3 linked regions of the Oryctolagus cuniculus genome follow. The protein of the gene in region 1 interacts with the protein of each later gene in a pairwise test. Links are inferred from orthologs where the notes say so. Each region holds a gene or a part of one and is shown in the gene's direction. Other genes may lie near its edges. The genes, in order: CEBPG, ATF4 and CEBPE.

The links.
Region 2: the proteins of CEBPG (region 1) and ATF4 interact in binary tests that used the Homo sapiens proteins (3 or more experiments, as listed by UniProt). The link is inferred for Oryctolagus cuniculus from reciprocal best matches to the Homo sapiens genes CEBPG and ATF4.
Region 3: the proteins of CEBPG (region 1) and CEBPE interact in a two-hybrid assay, tested with the Homo sapiens proteins (2 studies listed by BioGRID and IntAct, with this or other methods). The link is inferred for Oryctolagus cuniculus from reciprocal best matches to the Homo sapiens genes CEBPG and CEBPE.

The regions. Positions count from the first base shown.
Region 1 is NC_091449.1:21,554,310-21,558,404, forward strand, and holds the start of CEBPG (CCAAT/enhancer-binding protein gamma), read left to right. Parts: upstream 1-1,295; 5' UTR 1,296-1,435; intron 1,436-1,962; exon of another isoform or gene 1,963-2,073; intron 2,074-4,095. UniProt on the Homo sapiens protein: Transcription factor that binds to the promoter and the enhancer regions of target genes. Binds to the enhancer element PRE-I (positive regulatory element-I) of the IL-4 gene. Binds to the promoter and the enhancer of the immunoglobulin heavy chain.
Region 2 is NC_091442.1:115,754,815-115,758,635, forward strand, and holds ATF4 (cyclic AMP-dependent transcription factor ATF-4), read left to right. Parts: upstream 1-1,401; 5' UTR 1,402-1,605; intron 1,606-2,053; 5' UTR 2,054-2,154; coding exon 2,155-2,371; intron 2,372-2,460; coding exon 2,461-3,269; 3' UTR 3,270-3,321; downstream 3,322-3,821. UniProt on the Homo sapiens protein: Transcription factor that binds the cAMP response element (CRE) (consensus: 5'-GTGACGT[AC][AG]-3') and displays two biological functions, as regulator of metabolic and redox processes under normal cellular conditions, and as master transcription factor during integrated stress response (ISR).
Region 3 is NC_091443.1:51,898,577-51,902,212, forward strand, and holds CEBPE (CCAAT/enhancer-binding protein epsilon), read left to right. Parts: upstream 1-1,198; 5' UTR 1,199-1,700; coding exon 1,701-2,210; intron 2,211-2,671; coding exon 2,672-3,007; 3' UTR 3,008-3,136; downstream 3,137-3,636. UniProt on the Homo sapiens protein: Transcriptional activator. C/EBP are DNA-binding proteins that recognize two different motifs: the CCAAT homology common to many promoters and the enhanced core homology common to many enhancers.

The DNA.
Region 1 (4,095 bases):
CAAACACCCAAGTCTCTGGGCGTGGACTAGACCTGCTGGGTGTGGAGGGCCTGCTCAGACAGAGAAAGCTGCAACAGCCTGGCAAGGCGGTTAGCAAGCCAGGGCAGAACTTCATATACCTACATACACTGTGTTTTTTTTTTTCTTTTCCTACAATTTTTAAAGGATAAGGAAATGTTTAGGGTAAAATTATGATTTTTATGAGCAACAAAACATAACCCATTTTTAATGGTGCTCAAATCACAATGGATCAGACCGATCTCGGCTGCGAGCACCGAGCGCCAGAGAAGCACACTGGTGTGGTACACAGGGTGCCTTGCTGCCCGCCCAGCCTCTACACCTCACTCTCAGCTGCAGCCCCTTCCTTTTCTTCTTTGCAAGTGGCTTGGCATCTCTCGCTGATTCCTAAGAACAGTCTATGCCGAAGCCGGCCCCAGCACCTGGGCCTCTTGGAACGCTCAGAATTGCTAAGAGGAAGCACCCAGGGCGCTGCTCTCGGGCCCTCCTGTGCAGGCTCTTACAGGAGTCAGGCTTCGGAGCCATCCTTTTCCCAGCGATCACCTCTCTCCTGGGAGACTCCACAAGGCAAGGATTTCGGAAATCCAGTGTATTTCCAGTGTATTTCACCGTCACCAAGAACCCCCGCCTGCAGTTCCCACGAATGTGACAACAATACTAATCCTATGCTGGCAAGCTCTGCTTCATTCGTCTTCAAAACACAAAAGTTTGCAATCGCCTTGAGGACCGCTGAGGGTTCTGGGCTCTTCCTTCCCCTCTTCCACCCCTGCTAAGGCTGCATCCCCCCGGCGGGCTCAGGCCGGTGGGCGAGGCGGCGGGTCCCTGGGGGCGCTCCAGGAAACTCTGGGGCGTGATTCAAAAAAACCACCCCAGGAATGTTGTTTCCCAAAAGCAGGTGTGGCCTTCACAAGGCGAGGCTGCCTCTAGCCTCCGGCTGGGACACGACTTTTCTCTCTACACGTATCCCACGGCGAGGGACCTGCCGCCGCCGCCGCCTCCCGCGGGCGGCTGAGGAGCCGCAGGCGGCGCAACGAGCCACTGCCGGCTCCCACCACACCCGCCACGCCCGCCGGCCGCGCCGCGCCGCGCCGCGCCGTGGCCAACGCCTCCGCCGCGGCCCGCCTCCCGGAGCCACCCGGCTCGTGACTGGCTGATGCCGCTGTCCGTCACGAGAGGAGGGTGCGTCACCGCCGGGCCGGCGTTCCCATTGGTCGTGGCGGCGGCGGCCACGCGCGCGGTGCCGGCGAGGAGGGGAAGCCGGTGGCCGCGGCGGCGGAACGGGCGGAGGCAGCCGGTTTCGTAACCGTCGCTCCTCCTCGTTGACTCGCGGGCAGCTAGGCCTGGGTCGGGTCGGGTCGGGCCGCGCGGGGCCGCTCGTAGTGGAGGCCGCCTGGGGGCGGGCGGGCTGGAGGCGCAGGTAAGGAGGCCGCGGACTGGAGGTCGGGCGGGCGCGCCGAGAGGCGGAGGTGGAGGCCGCGGCGGCGCCGGCGGCTCGCGTCTGCGCAGGGCCCGGCCCGAGGAGACCCGAGGCGGGCGGGCGGCCGGGAAGGCCCAGCGCGGCTCCAGGCGCGGGCGGCGGCCCCGTGCGGCGTCTGATGCAACCTGCCGGCAACACCCGGCGGGGGCGCTGAGCTCATCCCTGGCGGCGGCCCAGCGCCGCGGCGCCGCCCGCCGACCCCCGCGCTCCCGGCGCGGCCGGAGAGGGATGGGGGACGCGGTGTGCCCCCTCCCGGACCGGGCCCTGTTTGTGAACCGCGCTGAGTGTGTGTGTGTGAGACCAGCCCGGCGCGCATTGGCCCCTGGGGATGCGGGGTGTTCCCGCAGCGGCGGAAGGCGGACCGTGTCCTGCCTGCGTTCCGCATAGGATGTTTGCTGCCCTGTAATCGGCTCGGGCCGGGGTGGCGGTGGACAAGTGTTGGAGAAGTTCCTGGAGTGGGGAAGTAGGGAAGACAGCTGGCTTTTAAATGCGTAACTGCACGGAAAGGTGGTTTGCCGGTGCACGGGCATGTCGGCCTGCACTTGCCGGTTGGATGAGGCTTGGAGGAGCAGGGCAAGGTTAGCGCGGCCGCAGGGAGCCCCGGGCCAGCAGCCCGCCGAGGTGCGTGTCGTCCGGGGAGGGTGCGAGGGGCCGGGGGCTCTGCCCTTCCGAGGAGGCCGTGTCTTGCCCGGCGTCGGTTTTGGAAGGGGTGTAACAGCTCCGCACCTGGGAGCCGCTCGCTCTCAGCGGCGTTCTTCGAGTGGGTCATCATTCGGAGCAGAGCTGCCTCTCCCGAGAAAGGTGACTCCCAAAGAAAAGTTTGAAACCCGATCCTGTAAGGACTTGCTTTCGGTGTCTGAAAGTTCTTGATGGTTTAGGATCCGGTCAGTGGTGTTTGGGGTAGGCTGTTCCTCGGGTTGTTTCTGGAAAACCTGAAAACCAAGGCTGAATAATTCCAGGATACTAGGGGATATTCCAGTTTTTTGATTCCCCGTTTCCGGTGGGCATGCGTGGCTGGTTCAATTATTTTTACTACCTGTCTTAAACAAATAGGGGGAAACAGGACTTCATGTCTTCAAGAGCCCATCTCTGAATCTCAGGAGCCCATCCAGACTGTCAGCTCTGTGATGGGGGAGGGGGGCGGTGGTCTCCTCCCGGGGGCCTTAGGCGGCACCTGGGAAGCCTCTGGGAGCCGCAGCTCGCACTCCCGGCGCTTGGGTTTGGTCTGGTGGTCCCGGATTGCCTGACCCTGTCACAGAACCAGTGGGAAGCACAGGTAGCCACAACTCCAGGCTTGTCGTCTGGCAGTGTTCCGGGAGGGTGGTCCAAACACGGAGAGGTGACAGTGGTCTCCTGCCTTTTTGGCTTTCTAGCTCTGTCAGTAAAAGAAGAAGCAAAAACTGAACACACACTGTAGTAGATGTGTATTTACAAACAGTTTGTTTTGTGTGTTGTAAATCAGACCAAACGTGGATGGGAAAGGTGACGTTTAAAAAGACAAAACAAACACGAGTTCTCCTTCTGGTGTACTCCCTGAAGAGGGGGCTGTCCCTCCCTCAGGGCCCCTGCAGCCGGTGCTGGGCCTGCCTTTAGCTTTGTCTGCAGTGGTGCACCCTGTGGAGCTGGGATTGACAAGAAGCGGGGGAGCAAACTGGACAGAAGCGCTGCGATAAGAGAAGGTGGGCAGTGTTCAGGAGCCAGTGGTGGTCTAGTGCTGCCGAGACGTGCCGTGGAAGGGAGCCAGGGCTGGAGAGGGGCTCGGGACCTGGGGTCGGACCTGCGGACTGGAGGAGGAGGGTGTGACACACTCAGGTTTGATTGCTAGGTTGCTCTCGCCACCGCAGTTGGGGGAGCTAAGCCTGAGAGATGATGTCAGGCTGACGTAATTTAGGTGGCACTGGGATGGAGGAGAATGAGGGTAGGAGATTCTTGTTGTTACTGTGTTTGTTTGTTTGTTTTTAGGTAGAATTGTCAGGTTTAGTGATTTGAGCTGAGTTGGAGAAGGGAGAAGCATTCAGGAATACTTTGAAGCGTTGGCCTTCACTGGGAAATGGAGTGAAAAGTTTGTTTTAAGGAGCCAGCGGAGAAACATCATTCTAACTGTAGGGGGGGGGTGTGGGACAGAGGGTTTTTGGGAAAATTCTTTTTTTTTAAAGATCTTATTATTTATTTGAGAGGTATAGACAGCGAGAAGGAGAGACAGAAAGGTCGTCCATCCAGGAAAATTCTTGACAGGTTTATTTTCCCAAGTGAAACTTGAGAAAAATTTCATTTTACTCATTCTAACATTGTTGATTTTCCGTGTGTTACTGATTTGAAAGAACAATACTCAAGAGATTCGCATTAAAAAGCCAACCTTAAAGATCCATCAGTAATGACACCAGGGGCTCAGTGTCAGCATCACCAAAGTCATTTGGCAGTCCCTGGAAAAATGGTGGTGCAGCCCCGTTCCCGAACGCCTGAGCCATAGATCAGGACACCTGAGAAGGCGCGTTTCTGAGAAGTTCCTAACCGATGATGATGATGATGGTGGTGGTGGTGGTGGTGATGATGATGGTGGTGGTGGTGGTGGTGATGGTGGTGGTGGTGGTGGTGGTGGT
Region 2 (3,821 bases), on another chromosome or scaffold:
GAGGAGCTCTCTCTGCCTCCCTGTGACTCTTACCTCTCAAATAAGTTTAAAAAACTTGCTTCTTTACTTGAAAGGCAAAAATTAGGAGTTCTTCCATCTGGTTCGTTCCCCAGATGGCCAAGAGCTGGAACTCCGCCGGGTCGCCCACGTGGGCGCAGGGGCGCAAGCACGGCTCTCCCGGGCGCATCAGCAGGGAGCGGGCGGGACTCCCGGGATGGATGCGGGGTCGCGGTGGCGGCGCGGGAGTCCCACCCCCACCGCCTTCCTCCTGACCCCCGGGCAGAGTGCCGCGCCCTAGGCCTCGGCCGCCGGTCAGTTCCGGGAGGAGCCCCCTGAGGAAGCAGAGTGACCCCACAGGGGTAGCCGGGAGTGGGGACCCCGAGTTAGCGTGGCGGGAGCGCGTCCCGCGCGCGGGCCGGGCCCCAGCACGGCCAGTGTCCGCCAACAGACGGGGGCGCCGGGGCTGCCCGTGCACCCTGGGAAGGGTGGCCCTGGCCCCAGGGCAGGTTGTCTGTCCAGCCAGCAGCGCTCGCGGAAGGGACGCGGGAGTGGAGCTCTGCGGGCCGGGGCCCGGCTCCCCGGGAACTCCTGTCCCCCGCAGGGCCACCGGGCCTTGTCCGGAGCTCGTGGGAACCACCCGGGGTCGCAGCGGGGCTGAGCCTGCAGAGGCCAGAGGCGTCCCCGCAGCGACGCCCTGCAGCAGAAAGGGCGCCGCGGACACGCAGGCTGGCCAGCGGCTCGCGGAGGTCAGCGGGAGGACGCAGAGCCGGCCCCGGACGGCGGCAGGCTCCCCGGCCCCGAGGCCCGGGCCCGCTCGCGGCGGGCTCGCTCGGAGGCCGCTGGGCGCTGATTTCTACCGCTGCGGCCGCCGAGGCTACAACCAAAGGCACGGCTGCACGCCAGGCCGCTCCCGCCCTTTCCCGCGCAGACCCGGGCCCCTTCGCCGAGTGGCCCGCCCCCCTCGGGCCCTGAGCCAATAGGAGCTCAAGGTATATATGACTCCTCAGGCCTGAGCCAATCATCTCGACGCGCGCTCCCCGCCAGCGTCTCGCGCGATAGCCGGGCGGCCTCGGCCTTCACAATAAAAAGCCTCCTTGGAATGAAAGGCTCTTCACGCCCCGCCCCTGAGAGAGATCCCTCCGCGCATCCGGGCATCCGAGGGGGAAAGGACGAGACTCTTTGATCTTGGACGCCTTGTAAAGTAGTGCGCCTTTTTCCCGACGTGAGATCTTGAAAGTAAACTACTTTTCTGTACATGGCTACGCCTCGGACATAAAAGCTCGGGGGAGGAAAGTGGTGGGGACGCCGGGGAGTGGGCAGGAGGCGCGGGTCACATGGCCGCGGCGGAAGGATGCGTCCTGTGATGCGGCTCGGAGGCGACCAAGTCTATAAAAGCCCGGCGGGCCGCGCGCCGCCGCCATTACCGCTGCGCCCGCCCGTCGATGTAGATCTCTTGCGAGCCGTGCCCTTCCTCCTCCCGTCCCGCAGGGCCGCGGCCACCATGGCGTATTAGAGGCAGCAGTGCCTGCGGCAGCGTTGGCCTTTGCAGCGGCGGCAGCAGCACCAGGCTCTGCAGCGGCAACCCCCAGCGGCTTAAGCCATGGCGTGAGTACCGGGCCGGGCGAGGGGGCCGGGGCCCGGCGTCTGCGGGCCCTGGGCCTGGGCCTGGGCTTGGGCGCGGCCTGCGGCCGGGGGTCGGGGCCGCGTCGCCGAGGCGGAAGCGGTTTTACGAGCGCCGGGGACGCGTGGTTCCTGCTTGCGTGTCCTTGGGCGGGGTCGGGAGAGCGCGGCCCGGCGCCCGCGTCCCCGGGGAGGTGGGGGCGCGCTGTCCTCGGAGCCCCGGCCCCCGCTCTGCGCCGGCGGGGGTCGCGGTGGCCGCCCCGCGAAACGTGGCGGCGGCCAAGATGGCGGCGGGAGGCGGCGCGGGGTGAGTCACGGGGCGGGGCCGGGCGGGCGGGCCGGGCGCCGGCCCCGGCGGGGGCGGCCATGGCCGCTGTGCACCTGCCGCCCGGCCGGCCCCCGCCCTGATGGCGCCCCTGCCGCTCGCCCGCAGGCTCCTCACGGCACCCAGCAGCAGCGTTGCTGTCACGGACAGAGACACCTTCGAGCTGAGCCCCTGCCCCGGTTCCAGCGCAGCCCCGCGACACGGCCGACATGAGCTTCCTGCACAGCGCGGGGTTGGCGGGGGACTTGGCGTCCCCCTTCGACCAGGCGGCTTTGGGGGCTGAGGAGGGCCTGGGGCTCCTGGACGACTACCTGGAGGTGGCCACGCCCTGGAAGCCTCCCGGGCCCCCCGGCGACAAGGCTGCGGCGGGCTCCTCGGAATGGCTGGCGGCGGACGGGCTGCTGGGCGCCCCCGCCGACGGCAAGGGTGAGCGCCGCGGGGGGTGGGGGTGGGAGGGGGCGCCCGTGTCGGGGGGGGGGCGCCGGCCTCACGCGCCCTCGCTCGCGCCCCCGCAGAGGACGCCTTCTCCGGGACGGACTGGATGTTGGAGAAAGTGGACCTCAAGGAGTTCGACTTCGACGCCCTGCTGAGCTTGGACGACCTGGAGGCCGTGCCCGACGAGCTGCTGGCCACGCTGGACGACTCGTGCGACCTCTTCGCCCCCCTGGCCCTGGACGCGCTCAAGGAGCCGCCCCAGGCAGGGAGCCCGCTCGGCCCCCTCCCCGCGAGCCTGCCGCAGGTCGCCCCCTGCACCTTCCTGCAGCCCCTGCCCCTGTCGCTGGGGGTCGCGGCCGCCTCCCCGGATGAGTCGTTCAGCTTGGAGCTGGGCAGCGAGGTGGACATCGCGGACGGGGACCGGAAGCCCGAGTCGCCCGGCCTGGGCCCCGTGGTCCCGCAGGGCGTCAAGGAGGAGGACAGCCCCTCCGACAACGACAGCGGCGTCTGCATGAGCCCCGAGTCCTGCCCGGGCTCCCCGCAGCGCAGCCCCTCCGCCCCCACCCCCAGGGGCTCCCCGCACAGGGGCCCCCCCGCCCCGGCCCGCCCCAAGCCCTACGAGCCTGCGGCGGCCGCGGCGGCGCGCGTGAAGGGCGAGAAGCTGGAGAAGAAGCTCAAGAAGATGGAGCAGAACAAGACGGCCGCCACGCGCTACCGGCAGAAGAAGCGGGCGGAGCAGGAGGCGCTGGCGGGCGAGTGCCGGGGGCTGGAGGAGCGCAACGCGGCCCTGCGGGAGAGGGCCGACGGCCTGGCCAAGGAGATCCAGTACCTCAAGGACCTGCTGGAGGAGGTGCGGGCGGCCCGCGGCAGGAGGAGGGTCCCCGCCTAGGGCGCACGCACAGGAGGCTCCGCTGTTAATAAATTATTTTGTAGTGAAAGCATTCCTGGGAGTTGTCCTGTGGCTCACACCCTCTGGGCGTGGTGGGGCGGGCAACAAGAGTCCCACGCGGGATGGTGGGATCTGGTCTGGGGCGGGCACTCACTCCATGAGTGGCTGCAACTTCCTTGTTCGGTGTTCCTGTGTGTGTGTGTGGGGGTGGTCACTGGCTCCAGCCTGCACACACACAGATCATGGGAGAGCTGTCTATTCGAAGGCAGAGTTGGAGACGGTCCTCCATCTGCTGGCTCACACACCCAATGGCCACGGCAGCCAGGGCTGGGCTGCAGCAGAAGCCTGGAGCTGACAGATGCAGGGGCCCAAGCACTCACCACAGCAGAGAGCTGCAGCAGCTGGGATTCGAACTGGCACCCACATGGGGTTCTGGCACTGCAGGCTGCTTCACCTGCTATGCCCCAGCACTGGCCCTGAGCTGGGGGGCCAGACCCCGCTGTTCTGGGCCAGCCGTTAGGGACAGCCACAGTCTGGGACCGGGACCCATTG
Region 3 (3,636 bases), on another chromosome or scaffold:
GTTACAGAGAGAGAGAGACACCTATCTTCCATCCACTGATTCGATTCTCAAATGGCCACAATGCCCAGAGCTGGGTTGGACCAAAGCCAGGAGCTGGGAGTTTCTAGGTCTTCCAAGTTAGGTAGCACGGTCCCAAGCATTGGGCCATCCTCCATTCCTTTCCCAAGCACATTTGCAGGGAGATGGATTGGAACAGGGGCAGCCAGGAATCGAACTGGTTCCCATATGGGATGTCAGCACTGCAGGCAGCAGCTTAACCTGTTACACCACAGCACTGGCCCCTGAAAATAATTTTTAATGCTTATTTTTTTTTTTAATCTGCTTGAAAGGCAGAGTGACAGAAAGAGAGAGACATGAGATGTGAGTCCCACGAGCCGTGGCTTAACTGCTGTGCACAACACTCTCCCCTGAAAATAAAGATTTCCAAAAATGTTTGAAAACAATCAAGAGGTATAGAGAAGCAGCCACGGGCTTCTCCAGGAGACCCTGAAACGGAGCCCCAGGCTGAGGCGATGACAAAGGAGAAGCCTCCTCAAGCCTCTCAAGAGGAAGTAGACCCGAGAGCCGTGCACGGAGGTCAGAGAGCAGCCACGCACAAGGAAAAACAGCAAAGGAGCTGCAGCGAGCTTCTGAGGCCGGCAGCCCAGGGCACAGGAAACCGGAGGCAGAGCTTCAGGGCGGGGGCGGGGCGTGGGGGCCGCAAAGTGCCAGCCTGAGCCTCTGGCAGCGCACAGCAGCTGGAAGAGAGGCACCGGAGCCACCCATGGGGACAACTGCCGGTTCCTGGGGCCGCAGCCAGCCTGGGCCTGGGGTGCAAGACCCATAGCCAGCCCAAGCACCTTGGCCAAGCCCAGGCAGGTGGAAATGGAGCCAGGCTATTGCCAAGGCTGAAAACTCACATCATCAGCACTTGGGTGACCGCACGGACGCTGTGCAGAATCCTAGCCACTGAGCATTCTTGGGCCCAGGACACAGGCTCCCTGTGCAGCTTGCTCCCAGAACCCATCAGCACTTCCTAAACCCCCCAACAACACCCTTGGGCTCTGGGAGGGGCGGGGCTAGAGAAGGAACTGACCGCCCCTGGGGGTAGGTGGAGCCCAGCTTGAGGGGGACCCTGAAGAAGGCGTGTCCAGGGTGGAGCCCACAGCAGGCTGGGGGTCAGCACTGGAAGAGGGCTTGCTGTGTGCACTCTGGCTTGGCACTTCAGCTTGCACAGAACTTTCTGAAAGTCAGAGGGAGGAGGACATTCAGAGTGAGGTGTTGCCCTCAGTGAGGATCTGCAGTCCCCTGGGCACAGCAGCGTCGGGGGTGGGGTGGGACCCCATTCCCAGAAGCATCAGCTCCGGGCTTGTCCAGAACCCTGGCTTGCACCTGGCCCAAGAGTGCCCCCAACTGCTAACTGGGCCAGGGGCCCTCTTTCTCGGAAGCCTTCATCCTTCCCCCTGGGGTGTGCCCTGCCCCTCCCTGAGTCACCCCAGGGAGAGAGGGGGGGAAAAAGGGAAGAGAAGAGAGGCATCGACTGCAGAGGAAGGAAAAGGAAGCAGAGCAGAGGAGGGAGAAGAGAGGCCACGCGGGAGCCCAGAGAGGACAGCTCTGGGGCAGATCTCGGGCAGGGGGTAGCAGAGGGCAGGCAGGCCAAGCATCCTGAGGGGTGCCCGGGCAGCAGGGCGGGGGCGGGGAGCCCAGGGGGCGGGCCGGCCATGTCCCACGGGACCTACTACGAGTGCGAGCCCCGGGGCGGCCAGCAGCCACTTGAGTTCCCGGGGGGCCGAGCAGGGCCCGGGGAGCTGGGGGACATGTGTGAGCATGAGGCCTCCATCGACCTCTCTGCCTACATTGAGCCCGGGGAGGAGCAGCTGCTCTCCGATCTCTTTGCCATGAAGCCGGCACCTGAGGCCCGGGGCCTTAAGGGACCGGGAAGCCCTGCCTTCCCCCACTACCTGCCGCCCGACCCAAGGCCCTTCGCCTACCCCCCACATACCTTCGGCCCAGACAGGAAGGCGCTGGGACCTGGCATCTACAGCAGCCCAGGGAGCTACGACCCCAGGGCTGTGGCTGTGAAGGAGGAGCCCCGGGGGCCAGAGGGCAGCCGAGGTGGCAGCCGGGGCGGCTACAATCCCCTGCAGTACCAGGTGGCACACTGCGGGCAGACGGCCGTGCACCTGCCCCCGACCCTGGCAGCACCAGGCCAGCCCCTGCGCGTCCTCAAGGTAAGAGCTGCTTCCCTTGGGCTGGGGCGGGGTCCCGGCTGACATTCGAGTCTGTGTTTAGTACTGTTCGCTGAAACTGCCCCACTCCCAAGTCCTCAGTGCTCGCCGCTGGGCCATGACCCTGCTCTCTGCACCCGGACCTTCCATCCTAGTGGCTGCTGATGCCCCCCCCCCCACCATGCCCCCTCCTCTTGCTCTCCAATTCCTACTTCTAGAAGAGGAAATGCCTCTGATCACAGAATGGGAGACAGAGTGCCAGGGGTTTGGGTCACCGACAGAGCACTTGTGTCCCGGGGCCACAGAGTGATGGCTGCTTTGGCCTGGCTCTAAATTCTCTATTCTGTCCATGCCCCAAGGGCTCCCTGGCCACAGTAGGGGGTGGTGGGGTGGGTGATCCCCTGCCCCACCTCCACTCTACCCCCTGGGCTCACCCCTCCAACCCTCTGTGCCTTCCCCTGCAGGCCCCCTTGGCCACCACCGTGCCCCCCTGCAGTCCCCTCCTCAAGGCGCCCTCCCCGGCTGGCCCCTCGCACAAGGGCAAGAAGGCAGTGAACAAGGACAGCTTGGAGTACCGGCTGCGGCGGGAGCGCAACAACATCGCCGTGCGCAAGAGCAGGGACAAGGCCAAGCGGCGCATCCTGGAGACACAGCAGAAAGTACTGGAGTACATGGCGGAGAATGAGCGGCTGCGCAGCCGCGTGGAGCAGCTCACGCAGGAGCTGGACACCCTGCGCAACCTCTTCCGCCAAATCCCCGAGGCCGCCAACCTCATCAAGGGCGTCGGAGGCTGCAGCTGACTGTGGGCACCAGGCAGGGCCCCAGAGCCCGAGTCTGGGACATTGACCATGGACAGACGGCAGAGGGGAGGGAAGGCAGGGCAGGACCCCGCACGGTGATAATGAGACTGCTGAATAAAGCCGTGCTGTGCCCAGAGCCTGGGCCTGTTCTGTGTGGGTGTGCACGTGGGGGGAGGCGTTTGTGTGTGTTTTGCACGTGTGGCACGAGAAGCCTAAAAAGCAGGGAATGAGTGTGGCTGGGTCCTTGTGGCTTCCATGCTGGGATGAGTTTGTGGGAATGCTGACCTGTTGCCCACGGCCCAGGGCAACGCCACTCTACCTCCCCAACGCACACCTTCCTCTTCCTCCCTACTCTATCTTTCCAGAAGCTGAAGGCACCCCCGACTGCACACATACACACACACACACGGGACCTGGAGTAGTCTCTGGGCCCTTTCCTCCCAGAGATCCGTGGCTAATCGAAAGGTCCCAGACCTCACAATCCCGCGCCCAGGCCTGTTGGCAGACCTGTCTCAAAGGGATAGGTCTGTGAGCTCCAGCCCCAGACAACAAGGGGAAAAGCCCGAGGGGACTGCCACATTCACCTCCTCCCCGCGTTCTCCAGCTCCACAGCCTCAGACAACCCCAGA